Xenopus tropicalis: one gene and its partner. The protein of the gene in region 2 purifies or fractionates together with the protein of the main gene of each other region. This does not show direct contact. Links are inferred from orthologs where the notes say so. Each region holds a gene or a part of one and is shown on either strand. Other genes may lie near its edges.

The links. Proteins that work in one complex are often made in the same cells at the same time.
Region 1: the proteins of arpc1a (region 2) and arpc5 fractionate together in Homo sapiens (co-fractionation; 8 studies listed by BioGRID and IntAct, counting the BioPlex papers as one, with this or other methods). This does not show direct contact. The link is inferred for Xenopus tropicalis from reciprocal best matches to the Homo sapiens genes ARPC1A and ARPC5.

Annotation. Positions count from the first base shown.
Region 1 is NC_030680.2:99,903,747-99,907,404, forward strand, and holds the start of arpc5 (actin-related protein 2/3 complex subunit 5), read left to right. Parts: upstream 1-723; 5' UTR 724-750; coding exon 751-890; intron 891-2,019; coding exon 2,020-2,092; intron 2,093-2,462; coding exon 2,463-2,639; intron 2,640-3,658. UniProt on the Homo sapiens protein: Component of the Arp2/3 complex, a multiprotein complex that mediates actin polymerization upon stimulation by nucleation-promoting factor (NPF).
Region 2 is NC_030685.2:41,716,682-41,720,337, reverse strand, and holds part of arpc1a (actin-related protein 2/3 complex subunit 1A), read right to left. Parts: intron 2,090-3,656; coding exon 1,867-2,089; intron 1-1,866. UniProt on the Homo sapiens protein: Probably functions as a component of the Arp2/3 complex which is involved in regulation of actin polymerization and together with an activating nucleation-promoting factor (NPF) mediates the formation of branched actin networks.

The sequences.
Region 1 (3,658 bases), on a different chromosome or scaffold from region 2:
CCAGTGGGATGCCATACGCGGCGCTGAAATCGACAAAGTTTCCTCTCGAGGCAACAGCCCCAAGGAATGGAGGAGGCTCAGAAGGAAAAGGGGGAGGGGGTAGAACAAGCAAAAACTATTTTATATTAAACACTAACATTATAACAAGATCTGACAACAAGCCATTGCTATAGTACCATTACATAAACTATTGGAACATTGAATTAAGGGGATGACAACCACAGGATATTATATAAAACATGCTATTGGAAATACACATATTCCATCAGCATATGCAGCAACACAGACTTCCACAAAATGCACTCAATACACTTACAATACCTAACTTTATTTATTTAGTCTGGATTTATATAAACACCCGTCCTGCACTGCGTGAAACCCACAAAACGGTGAGGACTTTGCCAGAAAATCCTTTTTTTCTGTACAAAAGCAGTCCAGCAAGCCATGCCACAGTTTTTTTTACCATGCAACAGGTCAGGTCACTGGAAAACACCAAACTGATTATCCCCTGACACCTCCACCGCCCAGGTAAATGTACTACCCACGGGCCCAGCCTGAGTGTCCCGCCTGGGTAAAGCCCACAGAATAGACTGAACGCTTTGATACTGCCTTAATCCCGGCAGAGGTAACCACACCAGCAAAACTAGCGCTCTGACAGTCTCCGGAAGCCGAGAATAAAAGCGGAAGCCGCTGCGCCTGCGCATTGAGTACGACCGCTCCCTGCCAGCAGCACAGAGTCTCCGGTTCGGGATGGCGAAGAATACGGTGTCTGCACGCTTCCGGAAAGTAGATGTGGATGAATATGATGAGAACAAATTCGTTGACGAAGAGGAGGCGGGAGAAGGACAGCAAGGACCCGACGAGGGGGAGGTTGATAGCGCGATTCGGGGATATCCTTGTATGTTGTCTGTGCTGGCAGGGCCTGGCATTGTACCTTTGTATGAACAGACATGCTCCTAATCGCCTGACATATGGGCTGTACCGTGTCATAGTGCTAACATGCTGAAGGTGTGCGGTGTCACATGGAGAGGGCTGACTGCCACTGTTTCCACTATTCCTGTCATGCTTTGTACTCATCTTCATCTTGCAAAGCCTATACTTCCCCCTACACCCTTCTCTTTGTTTGATCTCCAAGCTAAGGTTTCAGGAATATCTACTAGAATAAACTGGCATAGTCCTGATATGGTAGCCTAATAAGCTTTCAAACTGGAGTCAATACACATTTGCTTTTGTCTATGCACCTTGTCATTTGCTATGTGTGGATATGCAGAAGCTGTGCATACCAACTCCAGTTTGCACACTGACTCCATATTACATACCTAAAGGATCTATGGCAAGCAAAATACTTGCAAACCGTATATAGAGGCTCTGCTGTGTAGGAAATGTCAGTAGTTAATCTCCTTTTCCTACAAAGAGGAACTTGCTGTGAGGCTGTGGGAGTGTCAGTCACTTTATCCTGTGCATTTTGTTTCTTTTTCTCTGTCTATCTAAACAAAAACACTTTCTTTCTCACTCTCTCTCTGTTTGAAATCACATACATTTACATGCTTTCTTATCGGTGTTTCCAAGGGTGGATAATACAATAGTGGACTTTGAGCCAAGTTACACACAGGTTGAGCACACAGTTAAACACACCTTGATGGTTCTGTAGCAGTTATTGGTCGTTGTGGTGTTATAGTACAAGCTATATGTTTTTGTGAGGCAAGCTTGGTCTTGCTTCAGGTTTAGGAATGCAGGAAGTGGCTCAGTCTCAGTCATCAGGAAGCATGGGAACTTCTGCTTGGTTGGCTTTTTTTACACTTTTGTCCCAGATCTATATTTTTTTCATTAGTTTTAACACATTTTCAATTCAGACCATATTTCCATATATATGCACAGTAGGCTTTTTCAGATTTATGCTAATATTAGGCCAGGGCCATATAGGGATCTGTGAATATAAAGCATCAACTGAAATTGTTCTGTAATTATTGTATGGCATTTCTTTTGTGTCAGTACGTTATTCCCTTAACAGCTTGCTACAGGAAACATGATGGGAGCTCTGCAAGCTGCTCTAAAGAACCCACCAATTAATACCAAGAATCAGTCTGCCAAGGTAATATGCTTCTAGTAAAATACAACAGGAAACAAATTGTTATTCATTTGCTTATTATTTGCTGAAGGATAAATAAGGTAGTTATAAAGTGGCGTATTGGGTACAGAATATACATCAGTCAGTGCTTACTTCCTCTTTGCTTTTTGTTCCTCCTGCCAATAGTTTTATTGCCACACTATTTTATAAATTATATTCATATCTTACTTTCAGCCAAACTTATTTTGCTGCACTTAATGCATTCTGTACCAATAATCAGCCACTACTCAGTTGGTCATACCAGCAAGTTTTCCAATACAGTTTTACAATTTTCTAACTCTTTATTTTAAATTTTGGAGTATGGACATTGACTTTATCATTGCTTTTTACTTAGGATCGAGCTGAGCACCTGGTGCTGAAAGTTCTAATCTCCTTTAAAGCTAATGACATAGAAAAGGCTGTTCAATCTTTAGACAAAAATAACATGGACCTCTTAATGAAATACATCTACAAGGGCTTTGAGAGTCCGTCTGACAACAGCAGTGCTGTCTTGTTGCAGTGGCATGAGAAGGTGAGCAAAGTACTATGGAGCTGACAAACACATCAGGCATGCAGAGTAGGCACCTCTATTAGGTCATCATAGTCGGAGAGAGAGAAAGGGGGACTCATAAAGCAAAAGGGGCGGGGCTTCACACTAGACAAGGAAGCCGGTAAAAGAGATGCAGCTCATCTGCTTGTAATAGAGAGACAAAGTAATTCTGGATGCAGGGAAAAAAGGTATGTTATTCTGGGGGCTAAACAGAGTAATTTTAGAGTAAATTTAGATTAAAAAAAAAAAAAAAAAGGTTTACTTATTCTTTAAAGGCATACAGTGCCTTCCCATATAAGTAGATACCTTTTAATGCTGATCCCTCTTCTAAAAATGTTTCAGACCCTGTAGGTCTCCCCTAGCAGCAGTTGTTAGGGACAAAATTATCCATGAAATCTGATTCTATATTTTTGAGTGGTAGCAGTAACTGAGCAGTTTTGGAACACTGTTAACAGCACACTTCATGCCCTCCCAAAACTTGTTCAGTGAGGGAGCATGTACACAAGGATTTAACTCCTAGGGGCAAATTTACTAATTTGTAATGATCTGTATTTTGAGATTTTTTTTGTCGCCGTCGCGACTTTTCCGTCGCGAAAAAATCGTACTCTCGTGCCGAGTACGAAAGCGCTCAATACGAAAAAGTTGCGACAACTCGCGAAAGTCGTAACGGCTACGAAAAAGTTGCAACAATTTGCGACAATTCACGAAAAAATCGCAAAATGTTCGTTTCCAATCCGATTTTTCGAGTTTCTTCTTTATGGCAAAACTAAAATATGGCTTTAACAAAATAGTTGGACAAACCCAAGCAGGGTCTGTCCAGATTGACAAAATGTTGTCACTGAATCTAGAGGGACAGGAATAAATGATAGCACAGCCTCTTCTTTATACAGCTGTCACGTTTGGTCAGAATGCTAATGTATTGACAAAACCTTTTAAATAAACTCCTTATGGGTACTTTTGTATTAAAAAAAATAAGGCAACATTACCAATTAGCTGAATAC
Region 2 (3,656 bases):
CTGGGGTGAGCGTACTTTTTTGTAGCTTTATCTCACATATAATGATGTAAATGTGTTGATTTTGCAGAAGCTGAAATGACAGAAATGACAGTTCATATGGGGTATGTTCACATTCGGGCCCCTACATGCCACATACTTAGGTAAACCTATACATATTGGGCATCAAACTGTTCAGTGGACCCCAGGCATTCATATTTGGGGTGTTTTATTTGGTTACTTTATGACCTGTAGGAGATAAGATACTATAGACTAGAAGCTTTGAAGCGATTTTTAAAAAAAATCACAAATTTTGATAAAAACCAATAACTTTAGGAAAGCATTGCGACTTGATAGTTTGGAGTAGACAGACAGTTGTGCCTATTCTGTATTCCCCAGAATCTGTTCTTTCCAAAAATGTACAATTTTCTGGGATAAACCTTCTGTTAGTGGAATTTTGGCCTTGAAATCCAAAGTATGCAGTTTTTTTGGAGCAGTGCTTTGGGAATTTGGTAGTGTACTGCTGGGAGTTTTTGACCTATACAAGTGAGAAATCTCCATAAAACTATATATATTTGGTATTGGCACGTTCAGGAGACATGGGACTTTCCAAATCAGTTGTATATTCATGCATAAAATAATTTTTGTTTCTAGTATGTGTGATTATATTATGGAAAATTTGATTTTTTTTGCATTTTTAGACATTTAGAAGCCTATATCTTGTTACAGAATTGGAATTACACAAAAATTCTACCATATTTTGAAAGCTTAGGTTGTTCTGAAAAAAACGATATATTGTTTTCCTTGGTAAACTAAAAGTCCCCCCGAGGAAAGGCCCCTAAAGTGAAACAGTGCAAAATGTTCAAAAACTGTCTGGCAATACAAGTTCCGCTTTGACCAAAATGGCTGGCAGTAAAAGGGTTAAAAAAAAAAAAAAAAAAAACATTCCAAAAGATTTGTATCTTTGAGTTCATTATCTTGATACAGAAGTACAATTACACAGAAAAAACAATCAGGGAGATTTACAAAGCCTTTAAAAAAATACATAGGTTTACTGGGTAAATACATTTTTCCAGAAGAAAAGATGAGAATAAAATGTAAAATGAAAATTAAATGTGATATTTTGCTGGAACATAAAGGATTATGGGTCGTAGCTATCCAAAAAGCTGCCACACAGAATTGAAAAAAAAAAAAAAAGTAGAAACCAAAACAATATTCTGTAATTTCTTCTTTAATTTATTATTGACTACATTTATAAAAATTGTATAGTTTTGTTTTTAACCACATTTACATAAAACAAACAGTTTCATAACTTGATTGCTAGAGTGGAATACCAAAAAAACAGAATGACCATAACACTAATAAGCTAATTATTATGATCAATGACGTAAGTCAGAAACATGTGAAGCACCAATTGGTAAATCTTGCATACTGCAACACCTTCATGAAAGAATGTAAGATGGCAAGTTGTTAAGCACCCAAACAATCAAAAATGCACCAGACTAGAGTACTTTTCAGCACTGCACCAACATATACGTCAGGCAGGCCCAACCTTCTTAACCTCTGAGAACAATTTAAAAATAAATAAGTTGGAAAACAGTTCTCTTAAGGGATACCCAATAAGAGCTATGATTGGCTATTTTGTAGCCCAATGTGGACTGGCAGACTACAAGAGTCTTTGTCTGGCAGTACACATGGTGTCTATGCTTCCAAAACATGCTTTCAAGTCAGACATTTTTATAATGAGCACAAGCTTTAAGGCTACTGGGAGCAACATCCAAGGGGTTGGTAAGCAACATGTTGAGAGCATGTTGCTCGAAGGTAAGATTTCCAGGTTCCTTAGTCGGGTAACTCTACATATTGTTAGTGTAATGAGGAAGAATAACTTACCAGTCATTTTCAGATTCAAAGTAGCACACAGATATGAGTCTTGCTCCGCTTCCCACTGCAAACTTATTTTCTAGCGGAGACCACTTTACAAAGGTAGCTGCACGGTTAATGCGTAGAATCACCAATGTTGGCTTCCATACACCATCCTTTTGGCTCCAAACATATGCATTACGGTCAGCACCACATGTTACTATACGATCGCTTTTAGGAGCCCAGTCAATGCCTAGGAAAATCAAAGGTTGTTTTTAATGCTTTTATGAAAGAACAAACTTCTATAATATAGGTAGCAGAAAATTGCTTTGTTTTGAAAGGGGGCAGGGGAATAAAGTTAAAAGGAGAAGGAAAGGTTAAATCACTAGGGGGGGGGGGGTCCAAAATGTTAGGCACCCCCTAGTGATTGTAATCTCTTACCTGAAACCCCTGGTTGGTGCTCCTGTTAGGAGAAAACTGCACCGGCTAGGGATGTATGTGAGCTAGCGATTTTTCCTGCTTCGGTCTTCACACATGCACAGTAGAGTGAAAAATGACTAACAAACAAAGCTGGCATTTTTCGCTCAACTGCACATGTGCTGTTCCCAAAATTCTGACATTTCCACTGCTTTATACATTAGGATAACTGGGTAATAGCATTATGACCAAATATTATACAATAAGAGAAAGCATGTTCTGCAACCCAAAAATTATTTATAAAAAATGGCAGCTGACAAACTCTAGCACTTTAAAGGGGTTGTACACCTTCAAACTCTTTTTTCAGCTCTGCTATTTTCATACAGTATTTAAAGTAATAGAGTGCACTCAGGGCTAGAATAGGGAAGGATGTGGAAAAACTGAAATGGCACCTCCTGCCGGCAGGTATCAATCTTGAGAAATCTGAAAAAGAAGCCTTAGAGACTTTAAGTTCCGATAAAACCATTGTGATAAAACCTACGGACAAGGGGGGAGCCATTGTAGTAATGGATGCGGAAGCATATAGAAAGGAAGTATGGCTACAACTGGGAAATTAAACACTATAAGCGTTTGAATAAGGATCCAACGAATGTGTTGAAACAGGTGCTAGATGAATACCTGAAGGAATGCTTGAATGATGGCTTAATTACAAAGAAACTATATGATTATTTGACTGTTGATTTCCCAGCATTTTATCTTCTTCCGAAAATACACAAAAATCTTCAGAATCCCCCTGGCCGACCTATAGTTGCAGGAGTATCATCCATTTTTCAACCGATTGCGATGCTACTGGATAGTGTACTTAATCCGGTGATGGTAGGTACTAAATCCTATGTGAAGGATAGCACTGACTTTATCAATAAATTAAATACTGTCCAGGGGCTAGATGAGGGAGTCTGGCTATGTACAATGGATGTGGCTTCCTTGTATACATCTATCCCACATGAACAGGGTATGGATGTGATACAAGGGGTGCTCGATAAACTTGACCTACCTAGTGGGGTACCAACAATGCTGCTGAAGTTTTTGAGAATGGTATTGACTAAAAACTATTTTGTCTTTGAAGAAAAATTTTTTGAACAGAGCCAGGGTACATCAATGGGCTCTAATGTAGCTCCGGCCTATGCAAATTTATTCATGGCTTGGTATGAGGATGAGTTTGTCTATGGAAATGAGAGGTTTTGGCAACATGTTCTAGTTTGGCTACGCTATATAGACATTATCTTTTTTTATTTGGCAGGGTACAGAGGATGTACTATTGGAGTTTAAGGAATACCTGGATACGAGATTACCAAAAATACAATTTACCCTGGAAAGGGATCGGCATAAGGTACATTTCCTGG